2 linked regions of the Ovis aries genome follow. The main gene of each other region encodes a partner of the protein of the gene in region 2 in a complex. Links are inferred from orthologs where the notes say so. Each region holds a gene or a part of one and is shown on either strand. Other genes may lie near its edges. The genes, in order: histone H3 and ASF1B.

Region 1 (2,497 bases), on a different chromosome or scaffold from region 2:
AGTAAATATAGTTTCACCTGTTTGGGGTCTTTTGTTAAATGATTTTCACTTTTTCTCATTGACTTGTATATAGTAGATATCTGAAGCGCGTGCTAAAGACAAGCTAACTTTCTCTTATTTTTGCATTGTTTTACTCCTCTGTACTATTTTGGGTAAGTTTGGTTCTGGTTTTCGGAACGATACCTTAGCCGCCTATCCCCTCCCCCGCCTTTTTTTTTTTTTTACAGTTTGCGCCTTCTGTCTCACGCAGTTAGGAAGATGGGATCCTACGTATCTCGGGATTCTTGTCCCCATTCTTAACAGTTGAAGTACCGAGAAACTACTTGGGGACCGAGGATTTTATCTAACATCTGGCCTAATTCTAGTAACTGTAGAATTGAGCTGAAACCGATTACAGTTATCACATAATGACGGCCTTCTTCAGTATTCAGATTTGTGCTAACGTTTTGTACTAGCAGCTTGGAAAGCGCTAAAAACGAATAGCAGAGAATTTAGCTTCTTGCAAAGTTTTCTCAGCAATGGTTAGGTTCTCCAAAAAAAAATAAGGCTAGGTTGGAGCTCTGCATTAAGAAAGAAAACCAGCTTGTAAGCGCAGTTAAAAACGACCCAGACCTTGCTTCTGGGGCTCCCTCTAGTGTCTGTCAGCTTTAATTCCATAACCTCACCACTCTACGCGTGTTAAACTCTCCTACCCGCTTTGCCCGTAACACTCGTGCATTAAGAGTTCACCGACTAAAGTGAAAGCTGGTACAGCTGCTTTTTAAGAAAACGTGGGTGGCTCTGAAAAGAGCCTTTAGATCGTCTGTTTTTAAAAGTACGCCTTAAGCCCGCTCCCCGCGGATGCGGCGAGCCAGCTGGATGTCTTTGGGCATGATGGTCACGCGCTTGGCGTGGATGGCGCACAGGTTCGTGTCTTCAAACAGCCCCACCAGGTAGGCCTCGCTCGCCTCCTGCAGCGCCATCACGGCCGAGCTCTGGAAGCGCAAATCGGTCTTAAAGTCCTGCGCGATCTCGCGCACCAGCCGCTGGAACGGCAGCTTGCGGATCAGCAGCTCGGTCGACTTCTGGTAGCGCCGGATCTCCCGCAGGGCCACGGTGCCCGGCCGGTAGCGATGCGGCTTCTTGACGCCGCCCGTGGCCGGCGCGCTCTTGCGAGCCGCCTTGGTGGCCAGCTGCTTCCGCGGCGCCTTGCCACCGGTCGACTTGCGGGCAGTCTGCTTCGTACGCGCCATAGTATCTCACAGGTTTTATTCACCGACCCCCTAGGCAGTCTCATTTATAGACGTAGCCTAGTCTTGATTGGACCAGAAAAGCTAGCAATTTCCGAAATTGTAATCTCATTGGTTAGAATTCAATCCTATTTGGGCAGAAGATTGTAATGCTAGTTTCTTTACTTACAACCTCCATTTTCCAGTCCTTTTCTATAATCTTATCACATTTTTTTTAAGCCCTTTTCTTTATATTGCTGTTAACTTTCGTAAGAACAATCTATGAAGTATTTTTGCACGCTTGGGATTTATATTTTAGCAAGTTCTTTAAGAATACAAGCACGCCCTAGGTTTCAGCCTGCATTTCCACTTACTAGTTATTGTAACTCCTCTCCCATAACTAACATTTATTTAGCTCCTGATATTGAGCTAAGCGAGAGCTACATTACGACTGAGGTTCAACAAAACAATATGTAGTTGAAGGAACCGGAAATTAAACTTAACCTTTACCCGGTTCGGAACTACACCAAAATTGTGTGCTGATGCTTACCAACTCAGAGCCGTCTGCCTCCCCCCATCCCCCGAGTGCGGTTTTCTCCTCAATCCATCAATGCATAATTAGGTCCTATGGACAAAACGCTTTAAGTAAGGGAAAATAACACCGGAAATATTAATTTCTCCCTTACAATAGTGAATAGTTTTAAATAGTCAAGTTGCTTATTAGTCATTTAACGTTCAAGGATCAAAGCACATAAATTATTCGTTGATTACTGAGTTGCTAGCATATTTTCAATAAAGTGTTTCCTAATGCTTACAGTTTCAAATCTTTTATATTCTTTATACAGAAATTTAAGATCTTTTGCCTTTTGTTTCCTGTGCTTTGAAGAATTTCTCAGAAAATTACATATAATAAAACAAAAGTTATGTAAGGTTACCAATGCTTAAAATTTTAATAACTAACAAATATATTTAAAATATGCTTATTTGATTGGAACAACATCCCATATAAAAACTCAAACCTGAGAATAAAATTAGGCCCAAGAGGCTCAAAACATAGCTCCAAGGTATGATGATCACTTTCCTGAAGTTAAAAGTGATTTTGAGAGTTTTTCCTGAACGTTAAACACAAGGTAGACAGTATCTGTGATATATGGTTGCCTTAGAAGTCACCTTTAATAACAGAATGCTGATTCATATTAGACGTCTCCTTAGGCAGCAGCAATCGCCTGCCATAGGGAGAAGATCTAAAACATCAGTGAGAAAGTGTTGGTGATATGAACAACTGTTAC
Region 2 (4,409 bases):
AGAAATGGCTCAGAGTTGGGGCTGGGTGTTCAGATCTTCAGTTACCAGGTAATAAGGCTGACTGAGAATTTCTCCAGAATCTAAGAGACTTCTAAAGCCAGGCCTACTCCATTTGTTTGGGAGGCAGGAGACAAATCCTTTCTGCTCTGTGGGAAGAGGCAGAAAGCATGTTGACAGGTCAGAGTGAAGCACAGCCCTACAGGTACAACCAGAGAGTGTAGACTTCCAGGCCAGAGTTGGCTTTCCAACTGGAATTCTTCTGAGCAAAAGCTTTATTGTTCAGGTATAATTAATAATAAGACCCTGTTGCCCTCTTCTGTCCTGTTTATGTCTCACTTCTAAAATAGTGGGTGCATTCTTTTCCAGTTTATAGCAAAGATAAAGAACCCTGGACTCAGAACTCAGAAACAAGACCTAGTTGTGAATAATTCTACACACCAGCTGTGTGACCTTGGAAAAATCATTTTGTTTCCATTAGAAAAATAATGACCTTGGGGAAAGAAAGAACTGTCTTTAGGGATTTCCCTGGTGGTCCAGTGGTTAAGAATCCACCTGCCAAAGCAGGGGACATGGGTTTGATCCCTGGTCCGGGAAGACCTTACATGCTGTGGAGCAACTACTCCCGAGCGCTCCAATTACTGAAGCCTGCTCACCTAGAGCCTGTGCCCCTCAACAAGAGAAGCCACCGCAGCAAGAAGTCCAATGCACCACAACGAAGAGTAGTCACTGCTCACCCCAACTAGAGAAAGCCTGAGCAAAGCACCGAAGATCTAGCTCAGCCAAAAATAAATAAATCTTAAACAAAATATAACACAAATAAAAAACAATGACCAGCAGGTTGACTTTAGACTCTCCTGATTCTATAAACAGATTAATAAAGTAACAGGGCAGTAGCTTTGCAGGAATGAAAGTACTAGATAATGACCATGCAACCATTTTTAAATGCCAGGAGCTCAAACAGGCTGATTGAAACCCGATCTCCTGCCATCTGGGAACTATGAATCCCTTGAACTATTAGCTCCTTACATCTCCTGGCTTTAAAATTAAATCTTATTCCACAGGGTCATTCTACACTTTATTTATTTATTTACACCCCGCCTTGTTCCAGAAAGGATTTAACTGGGCATATTCTATAGTTAGTCATAAGTAGAATGACTCCTTGATTTAAAAACGAGAGAAAGCAGGGAGTGATCCAATGGCCCCACCCAAGCACACATCAAAACTCTTCAACCCCATGTTAGTTGGAGAAGCCCATTTGTAGGCAAACCACCCACCAACCACTGAGAACGACTAGTTTAGCACACCCTTGCCTTCCAGATCTCTACCTCCTTAGAGGCTGCCTCTTCTCTTCTAACCACCAAGTAGAGAAGACATCTAATGGAAGTACTTCCTCCTGAAAGTGGTGCCAAGACTCGCTGAACAACCTTAGCCTTTCTGGTTTTTATAGGCCTTTACTTGAAAGGTCTTTTACTCTGTCTCCCGCCTTCTCATCTGTGAGATGAGAGCCATGTCCGCCTTTTGTCACAGGGATGAATAAGCACATCTGTGAAAGCACCTTGGAAAAGGTGCACAAAAGGCTGTGACCTCCCAGATTGAAGCCAAACATCACCATGGCTCGGCCTGGCACACCCACCCCACACCGCGCAAGTCGAGGTCAGGCCATCAAAAGTGTTGCAAGCTTTGCTGCAGTGGGTCAGCAGGAATCCAGCAGGCCAACAGCAGGAACCAGCTAACGTGTGCCTGGCCATGCCACTCCTCAGATCTGAGTGTGTTCATTGAAGCCCACAGTCAGGGAAGAGGAAGGAAGAGGAGCTGGGGAGACCAGATCATCCTCAAACACTGGAGCAGGAAGCCAGGTCATGCCTCTCTTGAGGAAGTAGAGGGTTGGGGCCAGACTAAGGAGGGAAGCCAGTTTCTAGGGTATGTGTTTTGAGGTAGGAAACAAGCTGAAGGGGGGTAGGGTGGGGTTAAGTATCAGCAGGTAGGGGATATTATGGGGAGACAAATGGGGAGATAAGGATGTGTGAGGTCTTGCCAGAGGGCGAGGATCTTCACAGGGAAAATGAGGGAGGAGGCTGCGGTTTTCATATGGGACACGGGAGGGGGCTAGAGCTTACATCTCCACAGGAAAAGAGTGAGGTGGAAGTGTCTCACCACAGGGGAGAGGGGATTGGTGGGGGAGGATTGGGTGGCTGGAATGGTAGTCTGTCCATACAGAAACAGAAGATGGGGGGTTTCTTGCTACAAGGAAGATGGGAAGGCTGAGGGTCTCTGCAGGTTAAAGAACTGAGGCTGAGGTCTCTACACAGAAAACAGATGCTCAGGAGGAACGCCCAGGAGAAAGAGGAGGATGAAGTGGTCTCCATGAGGGGAAAAGAGGAGTAACCATGGGGGTGGGGTGCGGTGGGTAGTCTCCAAGGGGCGGGGTTGGGGCTGGTGGGCGGGCTTTGGTTCAAGGGAGATCGCGGTTGGGGGAGGGGGAGGGGGAGAGGAAGTGTGTTTGGCAGGGTTGGCCTCGGGGTTGTCTGCAAAGGGAGGTCGGGGTTAGCTCAGGGGAGTGGGGTCTCCACAAGGGCCCAATCTCACCGTCTGCCAGGGCCTCATTGCACTCAAAGCTGATCTCGAACCGGAAAGGGCTGTGGAAAGGGCTCGGATTCTCCAGCACCGCCACGTTCAATACTGACACTTTAGCCATCGCCTCGTCGGGTCACGGCTGAGGCCAGAGCTGGGGCCGAGCCCGCGCCTGGGTCCTGTCGGGTCAGCGGCGAAGCTCTGCCCAAACCCGCTCCCGCCTCCTCTGACCGCGATCTGAAGTGCGTATCTAGTCCGCGCGCCTCCTTCAAATAGCCGGCTCTCACCCTACGGCCAATCACCGTCAACGCTCCACGACTGCGCGAGTGCTTCCTCAGCCAATCCTGGAGCGCCGGTCGGCGCGCGCCGAGACTCCCGAGACCAATCCGTGGAGCTCCATCTCAGGGATGAGCGAGGGAGGCGGGACCGTCTCTAGGCTTCTTTGGTGTCCGCGGGGAACCAATCCCCAGAGTCTCCGACTCGGACGTCCAGGGAGGGGTGGGCGGGGTCAGAGCGCCTGGCTCTTCTTGGCCAATCCCTAGGGTCCCCGCACCAGCGTGGTCCGCGATTAGCCCCGCCTTTCCGGGAGACTCTTCCAGCTGGGGGCAGCGCAGTCAACCGCCGAGTGGTGGCGCACAGCGCTCGCTTAAGCGGGAAGGAAGGGACGTGCTGGACTTGCAGTGATTGGCAGGCAGAAATGGGGCGGAGATAAAGCAGGTTTCCTGAGAGGTGATTGGCTGAGTTGGCTGCGGGGGCGGGAGAAGAGAAGACGCGGCCGGGGATTCGTGGAAGTGGAGCGGAAGTCGGCCGCTGACGCGGTTGAGCAGAGTGTGAAGAGAAAGGAGCAGCGTTTGCGGCATCGGCATCTGTCAGCAGGTGAGCGTTGCCGGAAGTTTCTCTAAGGGGCTCCTGGCCCCGCAGACCCGGCAGGCTGGGCGTCCGTTGTGAACGTTGTGAACGTTTAACTCACCCTTGAGCGCAGACGGTGCCGCGCTAACGCGGCGCTCTGGGGCCCGGGACCCGGTAGTCGGGCCTGGTTCGAATCAGGTTCTTACTTGAGAGCCCCTGGGGAGGTTTCAGGTGGACGGCGCTGAATGGGATTTCGAATCCGGCCTCTGCCACGCACCACCCGAGGCCTCATTTCCCTGCTCATTGAACGGGGTGATGAAATTTTACTGGCCTGACTTATGACTACATAATACATCTAGAAACTTCTTTCCACTCCCAGGCGTAGGCGGGACCACCGTCGCCCCCTGTCTGGAAGACTCGAGGGGCCGCCGCATTCCTTTAGTCCGCTTCCACGGGCGTCAACAAACCTAATCTTAAACTTTTCTATAGTAGCCACGTTACATATATATATATAAATATATTAAACTTAATGTAGTATAGCCAGAATATCATTTCAACATGTGATCGGTATTAAAAAAAAACAAACACGAACCTGAGGTATCTTTATTTTGTTACCTAGTACTAACGGTTTGAAAACCTGTGTATTTTACACGTTACACCACAGCTGTGATCCGGACGCTAGGTTTTCACCGGAAATAGTTGAGGTTTCATAAAATTTACAGTTGAAATGGAGATTCACATGCCCAAGTGTTTCCCAACATACGTTAAAATTTCCCATGAACTCAATCTCATGTCGGTGATAAATTGAAATATTAATTAATGAAAGTTAAGCGACGTGGAATGTTCTGTTTCACAGTGGCACTAGCCACACTGAGGTGCTTGTCATCCCCTGTGGCTTCCGATATTGGATAGCCAAAACCAACTTCAGCCAAACTGACCTTTTTGTTTCATAAAATCTGACATGACACCCCCCACCTCTTTTCTGGTGC

Evidence for each region.
Region 1: the proteins of ASF1B (region 2) and histone H3 are in contact, whole or in part, in a crystal structure (PDB 5BO0), measured with the Homo sapiens proteins. The link is inferred for Ovis aries from reciprocal best matches to the Homo sapiens genes ASF1B and H3C15. Residues at the interface, in NP_060624.1 of Homo sapiens: Val45, Ala48, Ser50, Glu51, Asp54, Thr87, Asp88, Val90, Val92, Thr93, Val94, Leu96, Arg108, Gly110, Tyr111, Tyr112, Asn114, Glu116, Leu140, Asn143, Arg145, Thr147, Phe149; in NP_001005464.1 of Homo sapiens: Asp107, Leu110, Cys111, His114, Ala115, Lys116, Lys123, Gln126, Leu127, Ala128, Arg130, Ile131, Arg132, Gly133, Glu134, Arg135.

The regions. Positions count from the first base shown.
Region 1 is NC_056054.1:99,937,057-99,939,553, forward strand, and holds histone H3, read right to left. Parts: upstream 1,250-2,497; 5' UTR 1,233-1,249; coding exon 822-1,232; 3' UTR 772-821; downstream 1-771. UniProt on the Homo sapiens protein: Core component of nucleosome. Nucleosomes wrap and compact DNA into chromatin, limiting DNA accessibility to the cellular machineries which require DNA as a template.
Region 2 is NC_056058.1:9,899,731-9,904,139, reverse strand, and holds the start of ASF1B (histone chaperone ASF1B), read right to left. Parts: upstream 2,816-4,409; 5' UTR 2,696-2,815; coding exon 2,587-2,695; intron 1-2,586. UniProt on the Homo sapiens protein: Histone chaperone that facilitates histone deposition and histone exchange and removal during nucleosome assembly and disassembly. Cooperates with chromatin assembly factor 1 (CAF-1) to promote replication-dependent chromatin assembly.